3 linked regions of the Drosophila melanogaster genome follow. The protein of the gene in region 3 interacts with the protein of the main gene of each other region in a biochemical or structural test. Each region holds a gene or a part of one and is shown on either strand. Other genes may lie near its edges.

What was found. Proteins that work in one complex are often made in the same cells at the same time.
Region 1: of the proteins of Map60 (region 3) and Cdk1, one has a biochemical effect on the other in vitro, tested with the Drosophila melanogaster proteins (one study listed by BioGRID).
Region 2: the proteins of Map60 (region 3) and Cp190 form a complex in vitro, tested with the Drosophila melanogaster proteins (one study listed by BioGRID).

What each region holds. Positions count from the first base shown.
Region 1 is NT_033779.5:10,384,231-10,388,078, reverse strand, and holds Cdk1 (Cyclin-dependent kinase 1), read left to right. Parts: upstream 1-1,816; 5' UTR 1,817-1,901; coding exon 1,902-2,050; intron 2,051-2,435; coding exon 2,436-2,939; intron 2,940-2,996; coding exon 2,997-3,237; 3' UTR 3,238-3,340; downstream 3,341-3,848. Other genes in the region: mRpS7 (mitochondrial ribosomal protein S7), read right to left, coding at 605-1,217, 1,292-1,335; CG5096 (uncharacterized protein), read right to left, coding at 3,452-3,848. UniProt on the Drosophila melanogaster protein: Plays a key role in the control of the eukaryotic cell cycle. Required for entry into S-phase and mitosis.
Region 2 is NT_033777.3:15,269,924-15,276,799, reverse strand, and holds Cp190 (centrosomal protein 190kD), read left to right. Parts: upstream 1-1,558; 5' UTR 1,559-1,675; intron 1,676-2,009; exon of another isoform or gene 2,010-2,188; 5' UTR 2,189-2,283; coding exon 2,284-2,685; intron 2,686-2,743; coding exon 2,744-3,743; intron 3,744-3,808; coding exon 3,809-4,749; intron 4,750-4,809; coding exon 4,810-5,757; 3' UTR 5,758-6,368; downstream 6,369-6,876. Other genes in the region: MRG15 (MORF-related gene 15), read left to right, coding at 1-215; CG4338 (uncharacterized protein), read right to left, coding at 362-1,186; Zip88E (Zinc/iron regulated transporter-related protein 88E), read right to left, coding at 6,605-6,615, 6,685-6,876. UniProt on the Drosophila melanogaster protein: Plays a central role in chromatin domain organization and boundary function through recruitment by a range of insulator DNA-binding proteins, including ZIPIC, pita, CTCF, su(Hw), cliff and others.
Region 3 is NT_033778.4:9,589,319-9,593,253, forward strand, and holds Map60 (Microtubule-associated protein 60), read left to right. Parts: upstream 1-1,548; 5' UTR 1,549-1,710; coding exon 1,711-1,982; intron 1,983-2,046; coding exon 2,047-3,097; 3' UTR 3,098-3,426; downstream 3,427-3,935. Other genes in the region: clos (closca), read right to left, coding at 3,429-3,608, 3,672-3,935; CG1827 (uncharacterized protein), read left to right, coding at 1-1,066.

The sequences.
Region 1 (3,848 bases), on a different chromosome or scaffold from region 3:
AAGAATCGATAGTCCCTTCGATAGACGTACACCTCGACAACCTTAACGCACTGTTTACACCGTTGTCGTTGCGCGATAAACAGGTTACATTTTTTAACTTTGCACTTGAAAAAATATGTTTTTGAGACAATCAGGATAATTTATTTGTATAAAATTGCATTTTATACTGAAATTAAATAGAAAAATTCTAAAAAGAGTAGACTCTGTTATTAAGCTGTGCTATAATTTTAAATTAAATTCAGAAGCTTAAAACACGACGAACCAGGTAAATGGGTTGAAGAAATTTATATAAAAACTTAGTATAAGTGTAATAAGAAAAACTTTGGGTTTCAATAGCTATAACACCATTTGGAAAATCCAATTTTCAAATCTACTATAAACAACGTATAAGGAAAAATAAAGAAAAAATATTAGAAATGTGTTTTTATAATGGTATCATAGCTTCATACAATTTTACTAAGGTCCTCGTTTTTAGTCCCCATAAATCCAGGAATTATTTCGATATTCCGCTCTCTTAAGACATTCCCCGGACACAAATCCTAATCATAGATATTAACAGGTATATGAAAAGTTTATTGCATTGGAAAAACAGTTTGTTGTGCATTTAGCTCCATCGGTAATGTGCGTAGGCGCGGTTGCTTTCGCACAGCCTGTGCAGATCGTCCTTTCGCTTGATGACCCTTCCCTGGCCATGGGCTGCGTCGAGAATCTCCCAGGCCAACTTTTCCGGCAGGGACACCTTACGCTCCTTCTCGCGGGCAGCTTCCAAGAGCCACTTCATGGCCAGAAAATATGACCGCTTCGTGGTGATGGGAACAGGGACTTGATAGGTGACACCACCACGTTTTATGGCGGTCACTTGAAGGAGCGGTCGGCAGTTTTCAACCGCTTGTTTCAGAAGCGTTTCGGGATTGGTGTTTATGGTTGTCTTCTCCCCTTTGGCCAGATTCATGTGCTCCGTCTGGGTTCGTTTTATTAGCTCCAGCGTCTTGGACAAAAGCGTTCTGGCCAAGGCACTGTTCCCCTTTTTCGTTATATAATTGATCATTTTATGTTTTGTATCGTCGTGAAAGATGGTATCAGACGATTTGTTGACCGCCGCCTTGATGGGCACATGGTAAAGCTTGGACAGATCATTCTTTTGCTCTAGTTGTTTATATTTTTGTACAATTGGTTCGACATAGTGTGTGGGATACACCGACATCAATCGAAGGCAGCTACAATAAACAAATGGGTGATCAGTCATTTGTGTTTTTAGAGATAAGTAACACTTTAGAGAAGTTTAACTTACCTGAGCCTTGAAGTTTTCTCTGCAATCCTACCTAAAAGCGACATGTTTACATCGTCTGCTGTGTCGGCAAAAAATAAAAAAACTATGTTATATATATGTTATGCACATTTGCGGCATGCATATAGGTGTGTCAAGATATCGACAAAGAGCTTAGTAATTTTGAAACAACAAAAATGAAGTAAAACAGTTGCGGTATTCCAATTACATTTTTTAAATTAATTTCTTTAGTACCGTACTACTGGTACTCACCTTCAAAAGATATAAAATAGAAATTAATTGCACCAAAAACTCATAAGTTAATTAATAGTATATTAGCAGAAACGTTTGTCTCCGAACTCAAACAAAGTGATGTCTTAATTAATTGAAATCACTATAAAAAAAAGCGTGGAATTTTACAGTACACTAAAATTAACTTTAAAAAAATTAACAACATTTTTAAGATACAGCAATTCAATAAGTTGCCTGAATATTGAGTTTCATTCCCACATTCCAAATGAATAAATGTAGCTAGCTTAGCATCGTTTAAACTGTCTGGTAATACTAGAGCATATACGTCAAAAACGCGCTAATTTAAAAGTCGGTGGCTTGCAAAGAAATAGCTTAATAAATTATGGAGGATTTTGAGAAAATTGAGAAGATTGGCGAGGGCACATATGGCGTGGTGTATAAGGGTCGCAACCGCCTGACGGGCCAAATTGTGGCAATGAAGAAAATCCGCTTGGAGTCCGACGACGAAGGCGTTCCATCAACCGCGATCAGGTAAAATGCCGCGGCTTGGACGCCCAAGCCTCAAAATGTTTCATGTTCTTTCGCGACTTTTCCATTCAAATGGCTTATATGCTTAATTGAAAGTATGTTCCTTGACATCTTATGGGTTGGTTTGAAGATTTTGCAATATTGTTTTTAATTTATACTGTGGAAGTCTAGCATAATTATGTTACGGCTTATGTTCATCATACATATGTGTGTGTATGTACAATCCTATATGCGTACTTATGCTCATGTGTACATCATCATACTTTCTATTTATGTTTATTAATTGGAAGCCTGCGAATACTTTCTGGTTCAACTGATAGACCAATAACTAAAATACTTTAATCACATGTTTTTTCTATAATGTAGTAATATTTAATATCCATTACAGAGAAATTTCGTTGCTTAAGGAGTTGAAACATGAAAACATTGTCTGTTTGGAGGATGTTTTGATGGAGGAGAACCGCATATACTTGATCTTTGAATTCCTATCGATGGACCTCAAGAAATACATGGATTCGCTGCCAGTTGATAAGCACATGGAGAGTGAATTGGTCCGTAGCTATTTGTACCAAATAACTAGCGCCATTCTTTTCTGCCATCGTCGGCGAGTACTTCACCGTGATCTTAAGCCGCAGAACTTACTAATCGACAAGAGTGGCCTCATAAAAGTCGCCGACTTTGGACTTGGCCGATCCTTTGGCATTCCGGTGCGCATTTATACGCACGAGATTGTTACCTTGTGGTACAGAGCGCCGGAGGTGCTACTGGGTTCACCCCGGTATTCCTGTCCCGTCGATATCTGGTCCATTGGATGCATATTCGCGGAGATGGCAACGAGAAAGCCGCTATTCCAGGGTGACTCGGAAATTGACCAGTTGTTTAGAATGTTTAGGTAACCACAGGTAATTTACTTTCTATTCCCTGTGATACTCACACTCATTGATTGCAGAATTCTGAAAACACCTACCGAAGACATTTGGCCGGGCGTTACTTCGCTACCCGACTATAAGAACACGTTCCCCTGCTGGTCCACGAACCAATTGACCAATCAGTTAAAGAATCTCGATGCGAATGGTATTGATCTCATACAAAAGATGTTAATCTACGATCCAGTTCATCGCATTTCCGCCAAGGACATTTTGGAGCATCCCTATTTCAATGGTTTTCAATCGGGCTTAGTTCGAAATTAACGTTCGGTATTCTCGTTTGACTTTAACTAAGAATTTTAAAACAAGAGATCTTGGTATCTAATCTAAAGCAAAATAGCCGTAAATAAAACTAAGGGTGTAAAACAATCAACGTTTACTTAATTTATGTAAGTGTATTTACAGATTTACGCCAAATTACCAGCGCTCTAACAGAATAATAAGGCTTCAAGGCTTTAATTATTATACAAAAAGAAAGTTAAATATGGAAATCCTCGTTGAAACTAGTCCTATTATAGAGAGCACTGCTAGCACCGCTGTCATGACGTCTAAAGACGCCAAAGCAGCCGCGCCTCTTCATCACGTAAGCACCAATGATGGTCGGCACCGCGATGAGCAGGACAACCAAGAGTCCAACCCATATAAGACTGCCCGTCGAACTTTCTATCATATGTTCATTCGCCACTCTGAGCAGCGTAACATCGTTTAACTTGTTCGGACCGCCACATTTGACATCTTTGGCCAGAACGGGCGTGGTCTTGTTGATTCGATCTATCAAGACGTTGATCAAGAAGTCATTGGATTCGTCGCAATTCCACGGGTTGAATCTAAGATCCAGAGCCTTAAGTTTATCCCAGCGCACTAGTAGTTCTTTC
Region 2 (6,876 bases), on a different chromosome or scaffold from region 3:
CGTTGTCCGAGCTTTACGGATCTTTTCACCTGCTGCGTCTGTTTGTCCGCCTTGGCTCAATGCTCAGCTACTCTGCGTTGGATCAGCAGTCCATGCAGAACCTACTCACGCACGTGCAGGATTTCCTTAAATTCCTCGTAAAGAACAGCTCAATATTTTTCAGCATGAGCAACTTTATCAACGTTGATCCCGAGTACGTGCGAAATGCACAGTAAGCAATAATCTTTTCTTGACTTGAAGTAAATATTTCATCAAAACAGTTTGCAATAATTCGGTGGTTGCTCTCAATTTGCTCCCAAATTGTAAATTAAAACACAAGTAAAATGTTTTGTCATAAGGTAATAAATGTCAGCACCTTGTATTAGTTCTTCGGTTTCGCTTTTGTGTCTTCATCATCGCCCTCGGTCTCCGTCTCGCTACTACTACTACTACTGCTGGTGGGATAGAAGTCGCGAAGATCCCTAGGCTTATCCCGCTCCTGCTGTTCCTTCTCCAGGTACTCATTCTGCACCTTAACAATCTCATCGCTGCTCTTGCAGGCTGCATAGGCATTGAGAAGCTTGTCGTTTAGCTCCAGAAAGGCATGACCCCATGAGAACTTGCCCAGAAACCAGCGAGCCTCTTCCGTGAATCCACAGATGTATAGAGTGGCGGCTATGGCCTCCACGCAGCTGAGCTTGCAGGGCTTTCCGTAGTTGATGGGATTGGCGGCCACCAAGAAGGGCAGCAGTCGCGGATGTGGGCTGCGCATCCTTCCAAAGGGCGTCTCGTCCAGCTTGGCCCACGAGCAGTCGATCACGGCCACGCCCGAAGAGGCCACCACATCGCGATCCAGCGGACTTACACACAACTGGCCAACGGGCGAGAGGACAAGGCCAGGAAACTTCTGACCCAGTCGAAGATTTGAAATGAGTCCTAGGCGTGCCAGTTTCCTGCCCGAACACTTCTTTGGATCGCAGTGGTTGAGGTCCCACATGGCCACCGCAAACTCCGGCGGCTGGCCGAGATCATTTTGGGCTCCATCTCCCGAGGATTCCGAGTCGGAACTTTCATTTTCGCTGCTACTGCTGCTGGCCAGCTCGTTGGCCTGCTGAGCAAAGCTGCGGGCACAATTGTGATTCGCTTTGACATTGCGGTAGGGTCCTCCTCCACCCTTCTTTCCTTTGCCGCGGTTCCGTCCACTCATTATGTTTTGGTTTAAAACTTTATCAAAGCAAAAAAGAATCAAAGTGTTTTTAACGTCTCGTGGTGGCCAAGCCGACGACCCGTTTTATATATTTTGATTGCAAAGAAGGGTGGCGCAAGAAATGTGACACATTACGATGTCACTTTTCAAAATTTCAATAGTTTAAGTAAATGTATTTTGTTTTCAACTGCAAAACAATATTTATTAAAGTATTTTAAGTATATGTATTGTGTTTAGTAAGATTTAGCTTAAACTGCAATAACCTTAAAGTATATCATATTCAAATATTTTTAGACTTAACGATTAACTTCATCTGCGTTTACGTCACCTTAAAAATGTTAAGCATGAGACTGAGGTTATCGCATGGCTATCGATAGCTGCCGAGCGCAACCCTGTCACGCCAACGATGAATGGAAAAGAATATGGCGACCTGACTCTGGAAAAAAATTATAATTTGTCCGGCAAAAGTAGTGTGCAATTCAAAGAAATGTATGTATTAAAAGTGCAATTGTGCGGCGATTGTCTGAAAAAAGTACATTCAATCAAAGGACACGCAGTAAACAAGCCGCTGAGGTCAAAGTGATTTGTGCGTGCCCCAAAAAAACCATTGTTGTGTGAAGTGGACAGGCGCGCCAAAAGGGCTCAAAAAATGCCACCCACCGAAAGATGCCAAAGTTGGACTTACAAGAAAACATTGCAGAATTGCGGACAATGAACAATTACTGATAAATAATACAAGAAGCCTGGCGACGCGCACATCGCACACATACGCCCGCGAAACTGTCACACGTACACAGGCGTATATCGATATTTGCGAGTTGCATTTCGCGCCGTGGCGGCAGAGCAAAATAAACCGAATAACCCAAAATCAACGGGCGTCTATTTGAAACTAACAGCGGAATATACCATACTTACTAATTGTTATTCTTTCTTGTTTTACCCATTCACCTGCGTCCCATCCCAATACGCTTTTTCCGACTCCTTACCCCTGCGTGAGTACAGTTGCGCCCTGAAGCCAGAGCAAGCGAAACCACGGGGAGGCTAACGATAAGGATACGGAAACGGAGAGCACGGCCACTAGCCAAGCACACAGCAATATGGGTGAAGTCAAGTCCGTGAAAGTGGACAACTGGGGAGTCTTCTTCCTGCAGAAGCTGCAGAACTTCTTTAATAAAACGGATTACTGCGATTTGACGCTGCAGTTTCGGGACAATTCACAGCTAAAGGTACACCGTCTGGTGCTCAGCGCCTGCACCGACTACTTCAATGTACTGGAGCAGACCTGCGAGATCGTCGACGATGCCCTCATCATGCCCAACGAGTTCCAGGCGGACGTGGTGGTGCCCATTGTCAACTTCATGTACACAGGCACCCTGGAGTTTGAGCTTAAAATGTACGGCAAGCTGTTGCGCACCGCCAAGGAAATGAACATGACGGTGCTGTTGAAGCTGCTAGAGGCGCACCGTCGCACCATGGAGAACGTTAATCGCCAGCAAAGGGTGAGTGGTGGCAATTCATCATTTGTGAAAATATTTTGTAACCTTTTATTTTCTTTAGCCGCCTAGTCCAAAGGGAATACGCCGGCGCACAGTTGGACAGCCCAGTTCGGGTCTTCCACAACAGCGCGTCTTGGGTCCTTCGCCGCAATCGCGAAACGTAGCCACACCCATCGCGCAACGAGCCAACACACAGCGCGGGTCAACTGGCAACACAATGAGCCGAACATCAGGTGGCTCAAATCGTTCGCCGTATGGAGATAGTAGCAATGTGAAGCAGGAGCCAACGTCACCATTCGAGCAGCTGCGAAAGGGTTATAACAATAACAAGAGACCAGCACAGACAAGCCTGCTATCGCCGCCATCCAAGAAGCCCAGTTTGGAAGAGGTTAAGGAATTCGCTGAGCAACAACGGATGCGAAAGCAAATCGCCGCTGAGTACGGAGATAACGATCCTGAGTACGATGGAGGAATGCTTTATGATGATGTCCATGCCGGGGACGATGATGACGATGATATGCCACCGCAGCCATCTACATCTAAGCAGCAATCCCCACAGGGTACACAGACCCAACTAGAACATGGATCCACCACCATTATCTTGAAACAGGACTCACCCAGCCAGACCCCAACAATAATTGTCAAGGACTCCTCCAACGCCAAGCTGAATCACACCAAGATCATTGCCGAAGTCTTGCGCCAGTATCCGCACATTGTAAAGGGCCACAAAAACATAAAGCTAAAGATTATGCCCAATACCCCGGCAGCGCCGACCGAAAAATCTGCTCCAGCGACAGTAAAACCCCCGGCGAACCAGTCATCCGCAACTACATCGCCACACAAGAAACTGCACGTTTCTTTCAAAGCCGACAAGAGTACGCCACTAATCACAGCACAACAGAAGGCGGCTAGCTCTCAGCAAAAGTCGGGAACCTCGCAGACAACCGGTAACCAGGGAACCGGGGCGAATCCACCAGCAAATACAGCCGCAGCCCAGAAGAGACGCATTGATAGTAAGACAATGCACGCCTTGATCGCTCAGGGAGCAGAGAATACTACTGGTGAGTACAACATTTGTAGGTAATAGGTTCCCAAAAACAACTACTAATGAATATCTATATTTCAGGGCCCTGGCTGTGCCTGAGATGCGGCGTAAACGGACGACCCATTAGCATTCCGTCGTACCGAGGCTTCCGACGCCATCTGATCAACACGCACAAGGAGACAATTGATCCGGCGCTTTGTGAGCATTGCGGGTGGAGGTCTGTCAACAACCGGGAACTGCATTTCCACATGTATATGGAGCACCAGACCAAGTCGCTGCTGTATACGTTTGCCGAGTGCGCGCTATGCAACCAGTCTTACCGGACCAAGGGTGAGTTGGAGGCGCACATAAACGAGGTGCACACGGACGACAACAAGCAGCAGTGCATCTACTGCAACAAGGTGTTCGAGCAAGAGCTGCAGCTGTACAGACACATGAAGAGCTACCACAAGGAGCAGGCTTTGGAGGATGGCATTATCGATGAAACGGACGAAGAATTCCTCGGCTCGCAAGACGAGGAGGAAGAGGCCGAAGGAGACGAAGAGCAGGAACCAGAGCAGACTGGCAAAGTGCGAATCCTTTCGGACATAAGTCTACCAGCCACCAGTGCCATCACAGTGCAGCAAGCTCAACAGGAGCAACTGCAAGAGGAAGATGTTGAACAGGTGCAGCAGGAAGTCAAATTCGTGGGCGCCGATGGCAATGAGGTGGAGCTTACTGATGAGCAGCGCAAAGAGATTCTCTCACAGCTTAACCAGCAGCAAGCAGGCGCCACTGCCGGCGGTGTGGTAATGGTGCTCAGTGAGCCAGAAGCGGAGCACGTCAAGCAGGAGACCGATGAAAAATCCCTGGCCGGCACCGAAGAGGAATATGATGACAGTCAAATCTATAGCGAACTGGGTGCTGCCGACTCTGTGGAGAGCGCCAAAAAGAACATTGCTGATGAAAGCAAAGAGTCCATTGACAACCTGGAATGGGCCGAAAACCTTATAGCCGAGTCTGAAGAACAGAGCAACAAGGAGGTGAGTTTATTAAACACTTTTATGCAAGTACATCTACAACATGAGTCATACAACTTACAGCCAAAATCGGATAAGCCGCGAGATGACATTAGTGAAAAGCTAAAGGAGCTTACCGGCGACTGGACGGAGGATGAGAACGATGACGATGTCGACGATAAGCCCGCTACCGCAGAGCTTGCATCCGAACTAGCCAACAAGGACCCTGAGCCAACAGTACACGAGGAAGAAGATGATATTGACTTGGCTCTCCAGTCTCTACACAAGGGACCCGAAGAGGCAACTGAAGAAAAGGCAAGTGAGGAGTCTGTCACCAGTGCGGACGATGCAGTTGACGCAGTCCCCAATATAAATAGTCAGCCCGAGAAAATGGATGTGGACTCAGAAGCGGCGGACGAGAAGGCTTCGAAGGCCGAGGTCCAGATCAAGAAAGAGGCTGAGCTTGAAAACGATCAAGAGGAATTTATCAAAGAGGATTCACCAATTCCGCATTCCGATTCCGTGGCGGAATTAAGAGAGGCGGTAACTGCCTCTGAGGGCGAGGATGATGTGCATCTAGAGGCCGATAACATACGCAAAGAGCTGCTAGATGAGTTAATTGCCGAGGCCGAGAAACCTGATCAGGAGAAGGACATTGTTCAATCTGAAGAGAATGCGACGACAGAGGCGTTAGATAGGTCAGTAACGGACGAGGATGACCTGGTGCCACCTACGCAGGTATCTACCGAACAAATGGAGATTGATGAACCAGCAGCGGAAAAAGCAGCCGAAAATAATGAAGATACTAGAACGGCAGACGAGAAGGAAGCCGTCGAGGACAAACCAAACCAGACACAGGATGTAACCACTGCAGAAAAGCCGACACTAGAAAGTGCAAAAGCAGGTGATGAAGCAACGTCAGGTGAAGCAGCCAGCGTGGACAAGGTCAAGAGCCTCATTAGCGAATGGGGTGACGACGATGAGGACGAGGATGAGAATGGGGTTAGTGCGGCGGCGAAGGAGGAGCTATAATTACTAGATTTATTTATGTTCTAAGTTTGGCGATTCAACGCAGGTCAGCAGATAAACGCACCTGAGCTCGGCGCGAATTTTCGGTTTCTATTGTAAATTAAATTGTTAATGAAGATCAAGGTGAATGATAAGATATGCATATGCACTGGTTTAAGTGTATAAGATCTAATCTACTCATCTCACGTAATTGTAAATCCCCTCCCATCCCAAGTATGTTGCCCTGCTAGCATGAAAATCGTAAATCTAAGAGGAGTTCCCCAAATGACCTTAAATGAGAGATCAGAGACCAAACAACCCAACATTTAGCTATTTATGAGTGTCCGTTTCTTCACACATACACCACCAATAGAGCAACCAAGCAACATTTCACGATTAGGTAAACACTATATATATATATACACATATGCCTATTTACATACATATAGAGATGTAGTTACATAGATGTTGTTTTAATTCGTTTAAAACAGTGACATGATGTCCCCAGAAAGTAATAAAATGATTGCGTTTAATGGTTGGCTAAGTAAGATTAATCAAAAGGAAAAGAGGATGCCCTTTTTTTGATTAACAACTTAATTGTAAGGTTTATTACATATAATAAAAGCATAAAAAATAACACAAACTTTGGAGAAAGAGAAAATATAAATGTAGACGAGAAGACTGAACTTTTTACTTATCCTACGGCAGATCGACAATGTACCTAAAACAAGATTAGTTGGAAATGCACAAGTAACAAGTCTTACACAAGAGATTAACAGCTGCCAATCCATAATATTATCCTAAGTGTTCTAAGTTTAAAAAGCGGCACATTTTCTCACAGCGCTGAAACGATTTCTCAACGAAAAGATGTCTAATCCTCATCTGAAAAGGCGCGAAGAAAATAGGTCAGCAATGTCGAAAGGGAAATGCAAATCACATAATGCTACGCACCAGAAAGATAAAAGTTTATGATGCACATGGTCGCAAAGCCGGCGAGCACAGTTGCAAACTGTGCAAATCCCGCCCAGCGTCGCGTTGAGTTCGAGTGCCAGCGCGCCTTCTCGCGCGGTATCACCTCGCAGACGGTGACGTAGAAGAGTGTGCCTCCGGCCAGAGCTTGGACGATAGGCAGAGTTTTGCTGG
Region 3 (3,935 bases):
AAAAGCTGGCACCACTGCCGTGAAGGCGAATAAGACGACGGGTGAGCTGCTGCCCATGGTCATTAACACTTGGAACTTCACGGCTGCCAATGTGCTCGCCTGGCGAATCCTGAAGCAAAGCAAGGGTGGACTCCGGCAGACGCGGAATGCGGTAGTGGAGGGCTGCTCGAAGTGTGAGAAACTCCAGTGTGACCGAACGGTGGGCTATGGCGGATCGCCGGACGAGTTGGGCGAAACCACACTGGATGCCATGGTCATGGACGGGGCCACCATGGATGTGGGGGCAGTGGCTGGTCTGCGACGCATTAAGGATGCCATTAAGGTAGCCCGGCATGTTCTGGAACACACGCAGCACACCATGCTGGTGGGTGATGCGGCGTCAGCTTTCGCCAATGCTATGGGATTCGAATCAGAGTCGCTGGTCACGCCGGAGTCGAAGGACATGTGGTTACAGTGGACGGCTGAGAACTGCCAGCCAAACTTCTGGAAGAACGTTCACCCGGATCCCAAGGTCTCTTGCGGCCCGTATAAGCCGCGGCCGACTCCGCTGACCCGCTGGAAGGAGGACCGTGCCCGCAATGAGTATGAGATCGGACGCAAGAACCACGATACCATCGGCATGATCGCCATCGACGTGGAAAGCAACATCCACGCCGGCACCTCCACCAACGGGGCGCGGCACAAGATTCCCGGACGGGTCGGCGACTCCCCCATTCCGGGTGCTGGCGCTTATGCAGACAACGAGGTGGGTGCAGCCGTGGCAACCGGAGATGGAGATGTGATGATGCGCTTCCTGCCCTCCCTGCTAGCGGTGGAGACCATGCGGGCGGGAAAACCTCCGGCTGAGGCAGCTCAAGAGGGCCTTCGCCGCATTCTCAAGCACCACAAGGATTTCATGGGTGCTCTCATCGCCGTAGATCGGCTGGGTAATTATGGCGCTGCCTGCTACGGCCTGGCCGAATTCCCCTTTATGGTTAGCAGTCCAGCCGGAGCGGATGGGCCTACGCGCTTGGAAACGGTCAAATGCATAGGTGGTCAGGACAAAGTAAATATCGTGGCGTTGTGAGGTGGCGAAAACTGTAACGTATTTCAATAAAATTTAAATTTCGTGGAGTTCTCATCTGCAATATAAATTGCGTTATTTGTTTGTCCCTATCGGCAGCAAGATAGACGGGTAGTTTTACCGTAAATTAGCGGTATTAAGAATTATCGATATGTAAGGATCCTTACATAAAATAAATAAATAAAGTATGAGAATAGAATAGAAAAAGACAAAACAAAAACCATTCCTTCGATAGTTATGACTACCAAAATGAATAACTTTTCCTTATGGAGAAACATTATAATTGTTATATAAGTAAAAATAATGCAAGTATTAATATTTATAGTGATAAATATAATATATAAAAATTTAATTTTCACTGCATCGAGAGCTGTGAACTGTGAACATCTATGTTGCCAAAATCTCCCTCATCCCTAAGTTACTGTACCAAAAGGCGGCATTTCTAGTATTTGCGTGTTGCACGGTCACATTTTCCGCCAATTTACCGACGCCAAATACAGAAGAAAAGAGAAGCGAACGGTGCGAAAGCGGAGAGAAAAACAAGCGGATCCTAGTTACATATACCAATTCGTGTGTCGCGTGTTATCAAAACAGCCTCCAAAATTATCAGGAACGCGCAACCAGCGGGCCGCAAGTCGCTGACTAAGATGGCAATCCAACTGGACAAGATTCTGCAGGACATCGCCAAAGAAAAGGTGCTGCATCCAAACAATGGCGGCGCCAGCAAGCAGGAGCAGGAGGAGGCGTGGGCCAGGATCGGGCGTCTCAACAAGCTCTCTGTGCACGAATCGCGCTCCATCTTCATAGTGCTCCAAAAGAAGTACGAGCAGGAAAAGCTAAAGGGCAATTCGGCGTGGAAGCTCTTCAGTCTGATGCATCAGATCCATCAGGAGCCTAAAATCTCAATCAAGGAGGAGAAGTAAGTGGCGTAAATAGTCCTCTAACCGTGAAACACTAACAAAATTTCTACTGCTATTCTGCAGTGATCAAGTACCCATGGAGGAGGTGGAGGAGTACGAAATGCTGGAGGTGCAGGAGCCTGAGGACGAGGATGACGCCCATCAGTACGGACAGCACACCAACTCTACCGGCTCGGCGTCCTCCGACGGCGAAAGCCCCACAAAGTCACACAGCACCGGTTCGCCAGAAAAGGACGAGCGGTTGGCGTACGCCAAACCCAACGTCGACACTCCTCGCCCAGCCATCGAGGAGAAAAAGCTGCTCAACACACTGGCTAACAACACACCGCGAAGTAGCTCGCTGTCCGCCGCCGCAGCAGTACTGCAAAAGAAGGGAATTACTGTGAAGAAGACGCCCAGCTCCGCAGCAGCACCGAAACCGGCTATTGGGCAACAGGCGCCAGCCAGTGGGCAAAGATCAAGCTCCTCGCGCACCACCATTCAGCTGCCAGATTCTTTGAAGCGCAAACTTTCGGAGGAGTACACCTCGTCATCGGCGCAAAAAAAGCAGACCAAGACCACGAGCCCGAAACAAGCCGCTTCATCGGCAGCCGCAACTTCAGTGCACACCAGCGTTCCAGATCAACTGCCGGCGGGAAACAATGTGGTGCACACAACCACTGCCCAGCTGATGCAGGTTAAGAAGGAGCGTGAGGACAACCAGACACCACCGCCGGGTATCAACATCATCACCATTCCATCGGCACAACAGATAAACGGTGGTGGTGGGGGAGCGAACTCATCGACAGCCGCCACCATTGCTTCCACCTCGGTGGCTTCCACAAACGGCTTTTCGCCACACATCGACGAGCTGGACTTTAAGAATGACATTATCTTCGGGCCGAAGATCAACGCCGCCTCCTCCAATACACCCGAGATTATCAACCTGGGCAACTTTGACAACTCGCTGCCGCCAACCTTTTTCAAGAATCTATGCAACTCGTCGCGACACGAGTCTCTCGGGCTGTACGTGGCCAATGTGATGAACAGACTCTCTTCGCGTGCCTCCGCCAAGCTGGAGCTGTCCATCTTGCGCGCCATCCTCGATGTGCAGAGCGACGAACTGGAGCAGTAGACCGACTGATACTCGCAATTTAAATGATTACTCAGCTTACTTATTAGACAAACTAAAAAGGTAGTTATGTAGTAGGCCTGTCTGAACCATTTCTCGTATTTATCGTATTATTTTTTCCGTGTTCAAACGTCTGCGTTCTGTGCCGCCCACTTGTAAAATGTATTTACTCACAGTTCTGGTATGAGTGTTCATAGCATTTACGCATGAATTTTAAAGCTAAATTTAAAATGTATTTCTAATATTTGAGATTTCGAATTTGTCCCTATTTAAGGTTGAATATGCTACTTGATTTTAAAATACGTTTATATGCAAATAAATCTACATAACTTACTTGAACTTCGCCCAAAAAGATGTATATCCGGTTGCCATGTGTAAGTAGTCCCTACTTCGCTGGGCATCTGCTCCCAGATGGCCAGTACGTCCTCGTTGTCCACGGAGATGATCTTCATGTGCGAGGCCTTATGAGGTAATTTCTGCAGCACAGCAAAGCCTTCCAGCACTTTAGGCGGCTCTGTTGGTTGAATTTAATGCACATGACTAAAGGAGAATTTGTATTAATGTGTTTTTAACATACTGGCCAATCTGTTTTTAATAGCTGCCACATTTTCCTGCAGCTGCTGCCAATCATGAATGTCATTCGATTCGACACCCCGCTTTTTCTTGTAATATTTATCCAGCAGCCCATTTCCGTTGCCCGCTTCGTAGTGACCCACAGTGAGGGGCTGGGTGAAGATCAGTTGGCTTTCCACGTGAAGATTGGGACGGTTTTCTGCCTTGCTGACCAGTAACTCGTTAACGGGCAGATCGTTGACGAAATCCACCCAGAGATTCTTCACAT